Alligator mississippiensis: one gene and its partner. The protein of the gene in region 1 purifies or fractionates together with the protein of each later gene. This does not show direct contact. Links are inferred from orthologs where the notes say so. Each region holds a gene or a part of one and is shown on either strand. Other genes may lie near its edges.

Region 1 (7,582 bases):
GCTCTAATGCCCAATCAAACTACATAATAAATTCTAGATCAAATCAGCAGGACAGCCTTAATATCTGAGGAGAAAAAAATATCTTTCAAGCACCTACACTGAACACCTTCAAGAGAAAATTGGATGCTTATCTTGCTGGGATCCTATGACCCCAGCTGACTTCCTGCCCTTCGGTCGAGGTGCTGGACTCGATGATCTTCTGAGGTTTCTTCCAGCCCTAGTCTATGAAATCTGGCTTTGAAAATAGTAACTTTTCTCTGAGAATAGCTACCATAATTATTTTGCAGGATTCTGTTTACACTTCAAGTACTGGGAATTTAACTATACTCTGTGTCCTCTTATTAAAAGAACACTGTGATATTTTATATCTTTCCCCAACTGAGCAAACCCCTATCAAGCAAGCAACATATGTGGGTGGGGTTATAGCCACTGCATTTGTAATGATCTCCATCATGTCAAACACCCAAATGAACAATGGCTTCCCTGCTCTAGAAACACTATCCAACATTAGTTTAAATAAATAAATAAATAAAGCTTCTTGTTAAATAATCTGCATGAAATGGATTTACTTTGTAAAGTAGTACTAACTCAGACTTGAAATGAACCCAGATCTCGTGTCCCAGGCCAGTACCTTACAAAAAAATCCTTATTTGTTGCCTTATCAACTACATTCATATCTAGGTTATATATTATAAAAGTATGCAGAGCTCACCAACTGAAAAGCTGCCATTCTTTTGACTAACACGTGGGCAATTTAGAAAATTTCATGACTGGTGAGTCGACACATTTGTATTCATGAATCAAACTTATAAAATAATGTTTATCCATCCATTTTGTCCTTGCACTAGGGGGAACAATAATGAAAAAAACCAAACCAAAAAAAAAAAAAAGCAGGGGGGGATCACATAAAATTAAAACTGAATTCTCAACTACTACATCTCAACAAATCTGAAACCATCTTTATGTATTCTAGCAAACAGACCTGCCCTTTTCTGATGTCTTCAATTGCAGCAAAAAGGCTCAAGTTACTAGTCATTTTGGAGGCACAAGAAAGTTGAAATAAAGAAAACAGAGCTTTTTCAACATGGGAGTTGTCCAAATAAACATCTCAAAGTTTACAATGTCAACCAGGGGTCAACACAAGTACAATCGGTGTGGCAGCAGTCTGTCTTCCCTCCTCATAAATTTTCCCCCACCACTTAATAACTATCAATCATGTTTTGTACCATTTATTCCACTTTTAAGAACACCAAAGCTCTGAACTGGTCTTAAGCCCCCAGCTCTGAAGTAGAGAATACCCACATGATAATAAATTATGCTCCCTTTCTGTTTCTCAGTTTTGCCTAACACAAAATGTTTTCCTTAATATTTTCCTGGATAAAATGTTTTGAAGTGACAGGTTTTATTAGAACTGTTCACCTTTTTTCAAGCAACAGAAAAGGTCCGGAGGATCATTTTCCAACATGATGTATTGAAGGGAAGTGGAATATGAATGTCATGCTTTATATCAATTCTACTTTTCTACTCTAAAGATTTTTGAAGAGGCTTCTTCATCTCAGCTACATTGCAATCACCTTGCTTCCTTCTCCAAATATCATGGCACTTTCAAGACACTAAAGCAGCATTTACAGTAAATGTTCCAAAATGTGTCCACAACCCTGAAAATACCTAAACATATGCAAAAGGGCAGTCCCATTGTCTGCTACGAAACAAGGCCCATGCACAAGATTTAGCATGTGCTCACACAGTGCTGCACCATTAGTTTGGATATGAAAAGTAACTCATTTAATTTTGCTCCATTTTATTCCCTTCGCTTGTTCCTATAAGAAGTTACGCTCCCCCACCCGCCCATTAAACGGTTGCGTGCAACGTCAGCGAACGATGCTTATACACGTGCGACGTCAGGGAACGATGCATCTGAAGAACGCAAAGTTATTAACATTCATCCCATTCAAAGGAACCTCAAGCCAGGCCACAAGCCAGTTTCTACAACCCTCAACCAATTGGGGGGGGGGGGGGGGGGGGGGGGGAACCTGTTAAAAAAAAAAAACAAAAAACAAAAAAAAACGAACAACCCACCAACCAAATCCCCCACAAAAACCCCACCCCTCCCCCAACAAGGCAGCTTCAATCCCGGGCTGTTAATCCCCACAACCCCTTGAGCGGACTCCAGGCCTCGTTTCTTGGCAGCTCTTTCCCAGCGAGGATTTCCCCATCCCCAGGCTGTTCGCATGAGCGGGCTCGGGCTCCACCACAGCAACAGCGGTAGCAGCGGACAAGGCATGAAGAGACCGACTCCATTTTGCGGCACCTGCAAGGAGGCGGCGGCAGGGCCCGCACGTGGCCCGGGAGCCACCGGCTGCACTCGGGCAGCTCCCAGGCACCCGACCCCGGCCCAGCAGCCGGGGCTCCCGCCAGGCCAGTCCTCCCCCCCGCGGGAAGCCGCCGCCCCATCGCCGCGCTGCAGGCCCGAGGCCGCACGTGGGTGGGCCCCGGCGCCTCCTCGCTCACCTTCCTTGCGCAGCGGCGCGGCGGGCTGGGCGCTGCCCTCGTCCCGGCGCTCGGCGGCGCCCCCGGGCGCGGAGGCGAAGGGCGGCAGCGGGTTCTTGCGCTCCTTCTGCGACTCCCTGCGCAGCTGCTTGGCCGCGCTGCCCGGGCCGCCGCCGGCCCCCGCCTGCCCCGCGCCGCCGCCGCCGGCCCCGCCCGACGAGTTGGCCGGCGCCCCCGGGCCGCTGCGGGCCCCGCCGCCGCCGCCGCCCCCCTGGCTGCTGCCGCCGCCGCTCTCTTTCCGGCGGGTCTCGGCCGCCTGCAGCACCTCGAAGGGGTCGGACTCGTCGTCAAAGAGCTGGTCGAAGCGGTTGGTGACGACGCAGCCGAACCCTTCCTGCAGGTGTCCGGGCATGATGGGCCCTTGTCGGCGGGATGCTCCTCCGATGCTGCCCAGGCCCCGGACCCCTGCCCGCGACCGCACAAGATGGCCGACCCTGAAGAGACCCGCTTCTTTTCCGGCGCCGGGAACATCCGGGGCCCGGCGCCCGCCCGCGCGGGGCACGACGGGAGCGGCAGGCGGCCCGCGCCGCTGGCAGCCCGTGCGCGGGGCGGGGCTGGACTACGCTTCCCGGCGGCCACCGCGCCGTCGTTGTGCAGGGGGCTGGCCAGGCCGCGCCTGCGCACTGGCTCCGGGCCCCTTTGCTCGCCCGCCCCGGGAGTTGAGCCACGTGCGGCCGCCCTTGGGGACGCCTAAGAGTGGCGGTGTCGCGCAGGCTCCAGCCTGCAGCTGTGGGGTGGGGAAGCATTAAAGGACTAAAATACGGAAAGGAGGGAGCGGAATGTGCAATGAAACCGGATAAGCGTCTTTGCAATCTGCGACATGTTTCTCTGCAAGGGACGGAGGCAGCCCCTATCCAGACCCTAACCCCAGGCCAGCAAGACATAGCGCCCCAACCCGCCACCGCTCAAGCAGGGGAACCGCAGCTCACGCTGGCAACAAGTGAGAGTCGACCAAGTGAGAGGGGAGTGGCCGCTTGCTTTGTACCTCTCGTCACTTAAAAAAGTCCATATCCTCATCTACTTTTAGATAGGCATGCAGAGAGATGCAGCTGATTTCAGGAGTCTTCCTGAAAAATAAAAATACTTTTGAAAAATAAAAGTTCCCCTAGTGTCCTTAAGGACACACAGTACTACTTAAAAAAAAGCCACAAAACCATTTGGCATTTGTAGGATTTAGTTAAGGGATTAGTCAGACTGGCCACTGCATATTTACAAATTTTAGGGAAATATATTATCATCTGCATAGGAAGCCATTCTAACTTGCATAAACTTAGGTAGCATTTAAGAATATGGAGTAAAAGCAAGCAGCACAGATCTGTGATTAGACCAACATGCATTTTTATATGTTGATATGTTCAGATCAGTTTTACTATACATTGACCCTTGTATTTCTGCCTGAAACCACTTAAGGTACTTTCTAGTCAGTGTAGAAACTCAAATTTAGTTTTTTTGTTCTTTGTTTGGTTTTTTTTTTCCCCCAAATAAGGTTTCTCTTTGTTGTAAGGCTGAAAGTACTGTGAAACAAGGGATCAGGTGTCTTGTGGTTATCAAATTTTTTAGCCCAAACCTTTTAAAATAAAAAGTCTCCTTTTCTCTCGCATGCAAATACATATGAATCCAATAGTGGCACAGTAGCCATTTTCAGGGTGTTTTCATATTTAGGGGATAGGGTTTGGGGTGGGGGATGACAATCTTGAGCTACAGATTACTGTTAACTGCTGCTTGATTTAGAGACTCAAAAGGGTTCTTACACAATTATGATAAAAATCGAGTGAGAATCCTAGAAGTAATGCAGGTAAAACAGGAAGGGCCAACTCCACGTGAAGTATTGGCTTGAACATTTGAAATCTTATTTAATAATTAGGGAGTAAACATGGTCAGATGAAAGTGCTGAAGAAGGATGTTCCCAGAGATGGAAAGGTGCATCTATGCTGTGCTAGATACAAGGTCATTAAAAAACTACATCTATATGCTGTCTCTGACAGCATAAAACACACCATTTATGGGATAACCTGCCCTGTACAAGTCTCCCTCTGGTCTCTAATTTAAATTAGAGACTAGTTTAAGCAGTAATGCACAAGGTTTAGTGGTCCTTCCAAAAGTTTTACAGCAATTCTGACAGGCTGGGTGTTCATTAACAACTAGAGATAGCCAATCCATTTTTAGTACTAAATTCTTGGCTCTATTAATGTCTTGGGGCAATACCTTTCATAGATTAACCAAGTTGTGTGAGAAACTATTTGTTGGTTCCAAATTTCCCACCCTTAGATTTAACTCAATGTCCTACTGTTCTTGAGACAGGGAAAGGACCTTCGTACTAGAGATGTACAAATCTCTTTCAAAAGCAGTAGCAGATGAAAAGATAAGGGCACCATGTCCATCACCCTTCAAAGCAATTATGTAACTCCACATCAGGATTTCAGGAAGTGATCCAAGTTAAATGACCAAAATGAGTTACCATCTGCTTGGGTCCTCCGTCTGTCAAATATATGGGTGATCTCATTCTGTGACCTGGGGAATGGCTATCGATATCAGCCACAAGCACTCACTATAACTGGTTGAATTGAAATCCTAAGAACAACTGATGATAAAGACATGGAGGCTGAGTTCTTGGTTATGGGAAGGGATTTGTTTAGATCAGGGTGGTCAAAATGATGGATCTGACCAGTACCAGACTCCATGTCCCAGCAGCCCCTGCCTGCATTGCTGTGGCCAGTTTCCAAGGAGATGCCAGCAGCAGTGGGACCTCAGGGCCAGGGTTTCCATGGAGACTGGCTGCAGCAACACTGGCAGGGCACACAGCTGGCAAGGAGCTACTATGAGGCCAGGGCTGGGATCTTGCAGCAGTGACAGCATGGTCCGGAGCCAGGGCAGAGCCATGATCCACAGCCTGCACATCCCTGCCCCAGGTATGGGGGCAGCAGATCGCAGTTCCGCCCTGGCTCCAGACCATGCCATCACCAGCGCAAGATCCCAATCCCAGAGCAGCTCCCCACCCAGCTGCATGCCCTGCCAGTGCTGCTGGGGCTGGTCTCCATGGAAAGAAACCCTGGCCTCACTGCTGCTGGGGTCTCCATGGAAACTGGCCGCAGCAACACAGGCAGGGGCTGTAGGGAAATGAAGGCCACTACAGGCCTGATATGGCCTGCAGGCCAGGCTTTACCTGCCCCTGATTTAGATAGAGAGATTCTCCAGTCAATTACCTTTGGTCGTAGTTTTTCGTAGCGCACAGCCAATAAGAAAAGTTTCTGGGCACTTCTTATATAAATCTTCAGGATACAGCACTGTTGTAGAGCCACTTAAACTGCTGCCTTGGCTCACAAGTGTGGTTCTCTTCAACCCCGCTTTGCAATACTGAAGTTCATAGCTCCAGAACTGCTCTCTGGTGTACTCACACCATCTATAAATAAAGATATTAAAAAGATTATAAAATTGCCTTGTTCCCACTAGGATTGTCACACACGTTTTCCAAACATAGATGTGAACAAGTCAATTTAAAATTATACCCCAAGTGTTGTGGAGTAGGCCTTAGACAAGACTCGTTAAAATAAAATATCTTCTTAGAAGTAAATTCAGAGAATATTGTGATCATTCACTAATTCTGTTTAAGAGGAGAGAAAGGCTTCTGGAGGTTGTACACTTTAAATTTTGGGGCCTTTTTTTTGTCCCCCTGCCCTCCCCCCAACTGGGTTACATTCATATTTTAGGTACATTCTACAGATCTACTGACCCAACACTGACATTGCCCAACATAGATGAATGAAGTGTGGTTTAAACTCAAAACATTAATTCAATTCTATAGAAAAAGGACAAAAAACATGAATCCATAAATTCTATAATTCACCATTTTCAGCACCTGCAAATTTCCCACTAATTCTGACCATAAAAAATATTGCAATATCTAAATTAGAATGTTGACACATGCCTAAAATGTCACCTTGTTTGACTGCGGTTGCTTAAAAAAAATAAAAAAATAAAAAAAATTTAAAAAGCAAAGGGAAAGTCCTTGCACAACATGTTGTGGGGATAGGCATCTTACCTTTCAATAACAGAACAGAACAGTTTTGGTAATATAGGAGCACTAGTTGGTTTCTAACCTAAATTCAGGAAACTTCACTCACCAAGCGTCCTGTTTAACTTAGTAACTTTTACTTAATTTTAGACCACGTCAAGTACAGCGTAGCAGAAGTGACTTGGATGTTTACAGGCCAGCGATCATCACTCCCCAACTCCTCCTCAGTATTGCAACTTAAGGTTGCTTAACATTTCCCTGGGGCAATGTGGCCACTGGAAGTTCAAGTCCACATCGTTACCCTATCCATTTCTTCTTGCTGTCTGCTCTGGCAGTCCAGAGCTGGAATATTCAAAGATAAATTTAAATAAGGTGCTTTGGCTAGTTGCCCAGCAGACAAGTCAATAGTCCGCTGGAGAAAAATTATCAGGAGGCAAAATTATGAGTAGAAGAGGATTGGACATTGCCAGGTTTCTTGATAGTCGTTTCCTGCAAGAGGATGTAGGAGAATATTCAGCCAAAAACCATCCACTAGTTGGAATATGTTTGTAAAAGGCTCTATATGGGGTAGAAAGGGTCAGGGGCTTACCTCTCATTAGCGGTTATGTTTTTTCACATGTAGCTGGTTACTGATTGCTTAGACCGACATCCGGCACAGCAGCTTTCAACCAAGCAGCAAGTGAATGCCATTTTGCTATACAATTTATTGAAATGGGTTAGGGAGGCCCGACCCCATCCAGCAGTTTCTAGCACTTGGGCTTGGTTTTAGCCACTAGGCTGCACTGCCACTTTATCTCAGGGTTTGTCTACATCAGGGCTGTCTAACTCCCAAGTGGCCAGTGACTATATGCCCCACACCACAGAGGAAGCACTGTAGGGGCCATAGGCCCTCCAAGCTACACGCCCCACACACATGTGCAGGTGGGTACTCTCCCCTCCACTACATCCCACAGGCAGACAGGTTCCCTCCACCCCACTGCACCACCTTTGTTTGTGTGTGTGTGTGTGGGGGGGGGGGGG
Region 2 (7,680 bases), about 22 Mb from region 1:
CACCTGGAGTGGGCACCCCTCCCCCTCCAACCTCCACCCCAGGGCCCCGCCCAGACCTCGTGGATGCCAAAGTGGGCATAGGAGTCGAAGTAGTAGTCCTTGGATGTCATCTCCTCAGCCGGGGGCTTCCCACTGCCCTCAGGCTGGGTGCACGAAACCTGCAGGAGGGGTAGGAGCGATCAGACGTATGCACCAAGGCTGCGTGCTTGTGGTCACAACCAGGGCTGAGGCCCCATGGCTGGCACGTGCCCAGCCACTGCCTTGCCCACACCTTACTCCCATGGGCCAACCCAACCTGTACATACTAGTCATGCCCCCCAACAGACCCACAAGGCCCAGCCAGCCCCATATACCCCACAGAGCCACAGGTCCTGCCAACCTGTAGTATACATTCCACCCCCCCAGTCAGCCCTGCAAGCACAACTAGTCCCACATACCCCCCCCAACGCACCAGAGTGGGGCTGGGTCCCCTTCCCCTGCTGTGCCCATCAGACCCACAGCAGAGCCCACTCTGGGGATCTCTGCACCTTGTGTGTCTCCCTAGAAAGGAGCGGGAAGGGGCAGTTACCCCCCACCACCTCACAGACTTGGCCCTGAACTTGTCCTTGCTGCCACCAGGTCCCACCAGCCGGCCCCCTGGGGCACTGCTTTGGGGGAGCTCCACTGTCCCCCCCACCCTGGGGTCCCCACTGGCTACAGCCTAATGTCCCTGGCCCCAGAGACTGGGGAGGGAAGGAGCTGTAGCAGTAAGGACCTAGGGCAGGGCCCACCTAAATTCCACCCCCACCCCCGACTCAGTGCTGCTAGCCCCCCACCCCAACTCCTGGGTGCACCGAATACCCCTGGGGGAACCCCCACCCCAGCAGGGGTGCTGAACCAGGGGCGGGGGCAGGTGAGGAGGGCAACATTAAGGAAATTTATGAATGAGAAATGAATACAGCCCCTAGAACAGGGACGAGCGATTATTTTGGGCAGAGGGCTGCTTAGTGAGTTTTGGCAAGCCATCAAGGGCCGCATGACAGGCAGCCAGGAGAAGATCAATATTGATTTTCTAAATTTTTAGGGCCCCATGGGCCAGATAAACTGGCCTGGCGGGCCGCATTTTGCCCACCCCTGCCCTAGAAGGAGCAAGGATTTCCCTCCCCCCAGCCCCAACTCCCTTAATTCTCCACAACCTCTATATGGGGCCTGATCTTGGCCGCTCCGCTGTCTCCCCCACAACCAGCAGGGTCACTCCTATGCCCACTAGTCTACACAGACCCTCTTTAGCCACAGTGCAGGACTCTGCACCAAGCCCCACCCCCCCAACTCCCTCTACATGTTGTGAGGGTTTCTGTTACACCATGAGGTCCCCCCCACCCCTGATACAGGCTACTGGGGTCTATGCCACCCCTGCCTCACCCCCTGCAGCTCCTGCTTGGGCTCCAGGCTCCTTGCCACATGCACACACATGCACACAAACACCGCCTGTCCCTGCAAGACCCCCACCCCAGCACTGACCAGCTCCTCACTCCCATCCTACATAGGGGAGAGGGAAGGGGGAAAAGGGGATGGGGTTGAGCAATGGGACCCTGAACACAAGGGACACGAGGCTGGGACGCACCCAGGCTCCTGACTCCCGTAAGTCTAGAGGACAGGGCCACTGTCTGTCTGTCGCGCGTTGGGGGGGGGGGGGGAGGGACGGGACATGACACGGGACCTTGACAATTTGTGGGACACAAGAAAGGGTCTGTAGGAGTAGTGACAGGGTATGACTATGGGGACAAGGGGAGTGCAGGGATCCCCTCCCCTGGGGAAGGTGGTAGTTGGGATTTGGGGGTGGGGGGCTGGCTGGGCCCACGCACTGAAAGGATATTTACATCTTCTAGCGCAGTCCGCAGGCTCATCCCGTTAGCCAGCGTGGTGACAAACGTCTAGGAGAAAGCAAGGGAGAAAGTCAGCGCCGAGCGCCCAGGGCTGGTGGGGGCAGGGCCAGGGGACCCCTGCCTGGCAGCTGGAGGGGGGGTGGGGAGGTGGTATGGGCTGGATGGTGGAAGATGGGAAGACAGGCTCAGGGGGAGGGAGCAGTTCCTGTCCTCGCCTCCCACACGCGCACACACGCACACGCACGCCCCGACCCAGGACACACTGATCCTACCCCTTGGCTTGTGCCCCCCACCCTCCCATAACAGACACCTGCTGATCCTAGCCCTCCCCAACCCCCCCCAAAATAAAAACCCAACTAAATCTACTCTTGCCACGTCCCCTACAGATGGGCTGACCTGACCCCCCAGTAACGACCCACAGATTCTTCCCGGCAGGCCTCGTCTCCTAGAGGGACCCAGGGAACTTGCCCCTAAGCTCCCAGCAATACCAACCAATCGGGGGAGGTGGGGGGGGGTGGGTCAGTGAAGTCTCCTAAGGGGACCTCCTGCTCCTATTCCAAACCGTCTAGCGACCTCCTGATCCTGCCCCCGCCCCCGGCCACGTCCCCCAGATGGAACCTTGGATGCTGTCCCCCCCAGGAACACACTGATCCCACCCGCGGGCCACGTCCTCCTGCTCCTGCCCGCCCGGCCTGGCCCCACAAGGAGTCCCTGATCCTACCCCCAATAGCGATCCGCCGTCCCCCGCCACGTGCCCTAGAGAAACCCATGGACCCCCCCGCCTGGCCCGGCCACGTGCCCGCGCGGCTCAGCCCCACGTGGGCCCGGGGCACCGGGAAGAAGGGGAAAGGGCCGTGCCCCCCACCGGCCCCCAGCCCCACGCGGGGGTCCCGGGTGGGGGAGGGGCGTGGGGCCCCGCCCCCTCCTTTGTTCCCGGGCCACGTGGGACCCCCGCGGCCCCACCCCCACGCGGGGGAGGGCCAGCACGGCTGGACCCCCCCCCAACTACGGCCCCCGGGAGCCCCGCGCGCGCCCGCGCCCCCCGCCCGCACCTCCATGATGCAGTTGGCGGCCTCCGCCATCTTGCGTGCGAAGCCCGGGGAGAGCAAGTACCCCTCCCCCCACCCCTTGGGCCTTATAGCGGGGGAGGGCCCGGGCCCGCCCTCCGCCACCCCAATTGGCCGCTCCGCGCCGCGGTCCCCACCATTGGGTCGCGGAGATGTCGCTCAACGTGCGGGCCCCACCCTCACAGGCAAAGGGGCACTGCTATTGGAGGAGACCGTGAGGCTTTGCCCCTGCCCCCTTTAGCGGCGTTGAGGGAGGGAGATGTCACTCAGCTTCGCCGTCGCGGCCCCTTCGTGTAGGTCGAAGGCTATTGGACGAGATGAATGTCACTCACAACGCCCCTCACACAGGCTGTGGCTCTATTGGACAGCAGCGATGTCGCTCACGGTGAGTGGAACTTCTCATTGGTAGAGGCAAACAGCAGTCGCTCGCGTCCCACCCCCCTCAGTCAAGTGGCTGTTGTAGTGGGCGGCGGTAATGTCGCTCAAACGTAGTGAAACATTACATTGGCAGAGGCTGGGAGCTAGTCGTTAACGGGGACCTACCCCCCCCATTGAACCTGCGATCCCATTGGTGACCTGATACGTCACTCTAGCCCCCACTCCCGCCACCGCAGCCATTGGCCAGTCGCCTTGCCAGTCAAAAACTGGCCCCGCCCCCTCAACCCTAACCGAGGCCCTAGTAACAAACTCATTGGTAAGCCGCTGGGGAGAATGCAACCAATCGGCTAGGCGCTCTCCGTGCCTGGGGTCGCCCCCCCACGCTGAAATGTTCAAGAGTATGCCTGTCAGGTACAGCCCCAGCCCCCACTCCCCTCTGTAGGTAGCGAATACCATGCTTTCACGCTCTTCCTCCGCTACCCCTCTGCCCCCCCACCCTGGGGGACCCCTTGCCATCCCTCCCACAGGTGCATCGCAGCCCCAGGCCGGGGGGGGAGGTCCAATACAATACTCCCTCCCCAGAAGTGGCTGCAGCTGCCCTGCTGCTTCCCCATGGAGGGATGCAGGTGGGACAAGAAGGGTCCGGAGCAATCAAGAACTTTGTTAAAAATATTTTTTAAATGTTTAATAAGAGGTCACAATGGGCCCTCCATGGCCCCAGGGAAGGTATCTGTTTTGGGGTCCCCTCCAGCTGGATGTACCCTGAGAATGCCAGGGGGCCTCCCCATAGATAGGGGGCCACCCCATCACGGTGGCTTCTGGGGGGTGGATGGCCAGCTCCCCTCCCCCCAACCCAACTTGCATCCTGCCTCCTCCCCCTAGTCGAGCTGGAGGTCGAAGAGCTCATCCTGTCCCACGATGCTCTCCTGTGGGGTGGGGAGGAGGCTTGTAGGGGGGAGGCCCAGCCCAGATAGACCAACAGCTCCCACCCCAAGCATGGCCCACAGACAGCCCCTAGATTCCTTCCATGTCCACTGTAGCCTGGCCCCCTAGTTCATACAGTTTCCCCCCGCCTCCCCCCATGTGGCCACCACACCCAATCCCCTCTGACCAAGTGTCCCTTTAACCTATGGCCCCTGGTCTCCCCAGCCCAACCCAGCTGCCCCTTCCCTGGCACGGCGATCCCTCCTCCCCACATAATTCCCATCCCCTACCAGTCCCCCATGTAAATCCCACCCCATCACAAAGCCCCCTCCCCAGGCCGGCCTGGCCCCCCTACCCAGCCGCCCTGCTGTTGGAGCCAGGGCACGAAGAGCTCCATGTACTGGAGGCTGTAGCCCATGAGGGTCTGCACCGCATGGTTGCTGATCCCAGCCACTCTCCGGGTCAGCTCCATAGTGAGTGCCAGGCGCGTGAGCTGGGGGCTGGGGCTGCTGGGGGGCGCACGGGCGGCGAAGGCCTCGGCCAGCTGGGAGAAGCCGTGGAAGGACATGCGGGACAAGGTGCTGCGCAGCACGGGGTCTGTCTCCATCTGCGGGTGAGGGGAAATGTCATAGCATCAGCAGGGCTGGGGGGGGGGCAGGGGGATACGGTTCGGGAGCGAGGGCCTGGAGGAGGCACGGTCCTATAGGCTGGGAATGAGGGGCACTGGCTGGGCAGGGGGGGAGCAGGGGTTGCAGGTCCAGAGTAAGGGGCACTGGGGGAGGGCAAAGGGGGCTGTGGGTCAGGAGTGAGGGGAATTGTCAGGGCTAGGGAAAAGGATTGCAGGGAGGGCATAACAGTGGCTCTTAGGACTTGGGGGAAGTAGGGGGCTTCAGGTGTGGGAAAACTGACAGGGCTGGGGAGGGGCCCTGTGCTGGGTTTGTGGAGGTTGGGCTTGAGTGGCATGGGGTGGGGGCAGTCTGTGGGGCAGGAGGAGCACCAGGGAAGGCACAGGGGGCTGCAGGTCAGGAGTGAGGGGCACTGGCTGACAAGTGCAGGGGCTTAGGCCAGTACCTCCCGATTGATGTCCTCAGCCTGCTCTTCCAGGAGGCTGATGAGTCTCTGGATCACCTGCTCCCTGTGCTGCTCGCTGGCAGTCTCCGAGGAGTGGTCTGTCGGAGCTGGAGGCAAAGACAGGCCTGTGAGCACTTGGCTTCCGCCAGAGGGCAGGGAGCCCCTGCCCCAGGTAGCAGCTTACCTGAGTGCCTGATGCCCAGCTGGACACCGGGGGTCCTGGCCCCCAGCCTGGGGGAGGGAGCCCCATTAGCGCTCCCAGGGCTATTCAGCTGCTGCTGCTTCAGCAGTTTGTCCAGCTTCTGGGCTGCCTGGGCATAGAGAGCAGGGTCCTGCGGTGGCTGGCCTGGGGGGCAGAGCTGTTTAGAGCAGGGGGCTGTGGGCGAGGACATCTGGACTCTCCCACCAGCTTGCGGAGAGCATGGGGGTCCTCTCCTAGTTCTAGGATGTGAGTGGGGTCTGGTGAGATAAAGTTGGGGCTGGTAGCCAGGGTGTCTAGGGTTCTTCCCCCAGCTCCCAGAAAGCACAATGATGTAGTGTAGGGGCTCTGGGGGGCTGAGTGAGTTCTGGTAGGTTAGACGGGGGAGGGGGGATGGGAGCCAGGACACCTGGGTTCCCTCCTAGCTCTGGGTAGCACATTGGGTCCACATTGGGTGGGTTTGGTCAGGGCACCAGGGACTCCCCAGATGCCTGGGTTTTCTCCCTACTCTGAGAGGAACAGGACCTAGAGCCTTAGGACACCTGGGTTTCCTCCTGGCCAGTGTCTCTGGGGCCCCTTACCTTGTGCCGTGGGATCCTGCTGTCCCAGTGCAGGGAGGTCCGTGCAGTAGCAGGGGGTGACAGGCAGGGAGGTGGGGCGCAGCGAGGAGGGGGATGGGGGGGGATGGGGATCCTGCTCCTCTCGGGCCAGGCCCTTCCTCCGCAGCAACCCCTTGAAGGAGAAGGAGCGGGGGTACCGACGGCGCCCCCCCTCCTCCCCCTCGCCCCCCTTCTGCCTCTTGAGGGAGTCTCCACGGGCAGGCAGGGGGCCAGGGGGGCTGTGACGGGGGCTGGCCCGACGCTGCAGCAGCTTCTTCACGCTGGTTTTGAAGCCGTGCTTGCGCTCTTCCACCCGGTTGATGTCCTCGTGCAGGGGGGTCCAGGAGCCAGGGCGCAGGGACCCCCCGGGAGTGCTGGCTTGTTCTGGCAGGGGCCTGGGGGGTATGGGCATGGCCAGTCTTCCCAGAGACCCCTCCCAGCTCCCCTCCATCCCTGTGGACACGCCTGGCATCCCCACACTCCCCCATAGCTGTGCCTCCCCCAGCTATTCCCATGCTTGCCAGCTACACTTATACACCCCGTAACTGTGCCCCCCAGCTGCCCCATATTCCCCGCTACCCCTATACACCCCCATAGCCCTGTGCCCCCCAGCTACCTTTCCATGCCCCAATGGTTCTGTGCCCCCATATACCCCCACACCCCTAGCTACCTCCATAGCCCTGTGCCCCCCAGCTACCCCTATACCTCTAGGGCCCCCCATATGACTATGCCCCCCACCTACCCCAAACATAACCACAGCCCTAGGGCCCCCCACACCTTTAAGGTCCTTCCATACCTTTGTGTCCTCCCAGCTATCTTTATACACCCCCATACCTCTGAGGCTCCCCATAAATCTATAAACCCCGCAGCTATTCCTATACACTCCTATACCTCTAGGGTTCCCCCCACAACCCTGTTCCCACCCCCTACTACATCTATATACCCCTAGACTTCTAGGGCCCCCCATAGCCCTGTTCCCCTCAGCTACCCTACACACCCACACAGCCCTGTGCCCCATAGCTACTCGTATACACCCCCATAACTCTGTGCCCCCCCCCCCAGCTACCCCATATACCCCTATACCTGTAGGGCTTCCTCCACTCCCCCAACCTCAGTGCATACCCATGGGCCCCCCCTCAGACTGCTGTGGATGCTCCTAGGGTCCCCCCTGCCCCTGCAGATCTGCTCAGAGCCCCCCTCACCCACCACCAAGGTGCCTCTAGGGTCCCAGCCCCTGTAGAGCCCCCCATAATACACTCCCTGCAGAGCCCCCTATACCATAGTTCCACCCCCCACAGTCCCCTGCCCGGCTCCTGGGTTTGCCCTCCATCACCCGCCTCTAAAGACCCCCGAGGTTTCCTAGCCCCGGCCCCAGACCCCCCCCCCGTGTCCCCTCACCTGTGTGCGTAGCGCTGGGGGTCGTGGTAGCTGCGCCCCACATGCCCGGGGGCCCCCGCGCCTCCCCGGCCCTGCAGAAATGCCTCCAGCACCAGCCGGGTTTCGGCCTGCACTCGGCACCGCGGACGGGGTGGCGCTGGGGCCCCCGCCATGGCCCAGCCTGTGGGGGGGGAGCAGGC

What was found. Proteins that work in one complex are often made in the same cells at the same time.
Region 2: the proteins of SERBP1 (region 1) and PRMT1 purify together in Homo sapiens (affinity purification with mass spectrometry; 3 studies listed by BioGRID and IntAct, with this or other methods). This does not show direct contact. The link is inferred for Alligator mississippiensis from reciprocal best matches to the Homo sapiens genes SERBP1 and PRMT1.

The regions. Positions count from the first base shown.
Region 1 is NC_081828.1:18,225,933-18,233,514, forward strand, and holds the start of SERBP1 (SERPINE1 mRNA-binding protein 1), read right to left. Parts: upstream 3,005-7,582; 5' UTR 2,903-3,004; coding exon 2,512-2,902; intron 1-2,511. UniProt on the Homo sapiens protein: Ribosome-binding protein that promotes ribosome hibernation, a process during which ribosomes are stabilized in an inactive state and preserved from proteasomal degradation.
Region 2 is NC_081828.1:40,022,375-40,030,054, forward strand, and holds the start of PRMT1 (protein arginine N-methyltransferase 1), read right to left. Parts: upstream 3,001-7,680; 5' UTR 2,948-3,000; coding exon 2,918-2,947; intron 1,914-2,917; coding exon 1,860-1,913; intron 159-1,859; coding exon 57-158; intron 1-56. Other genes in the region: BCL2L12 (bcl-2-like protein 12), read right to left, coding at 3,987-4,236, 4,636-4,841, 5,306-5,412, 5,490-5,651, 6,086-6,498, 7,502-7,680. UniProt on the Homo sapiens protein: Arginine methyltransferase that methylates (mono and asymmetric dimethylation) the guanidino nitrogens of arginyl residues present in proteins such as ESR1, histone H2, H3 and H4, FMR1, ILF3, HNRNPA1, HNRNPD, NFATC2IP, SUPT5H, TAF15, EWS, HABP4, SERBP1, RBM15, FOXO1, CHTOP, MAP3K5/ASK1, MICU1 and NPRL2.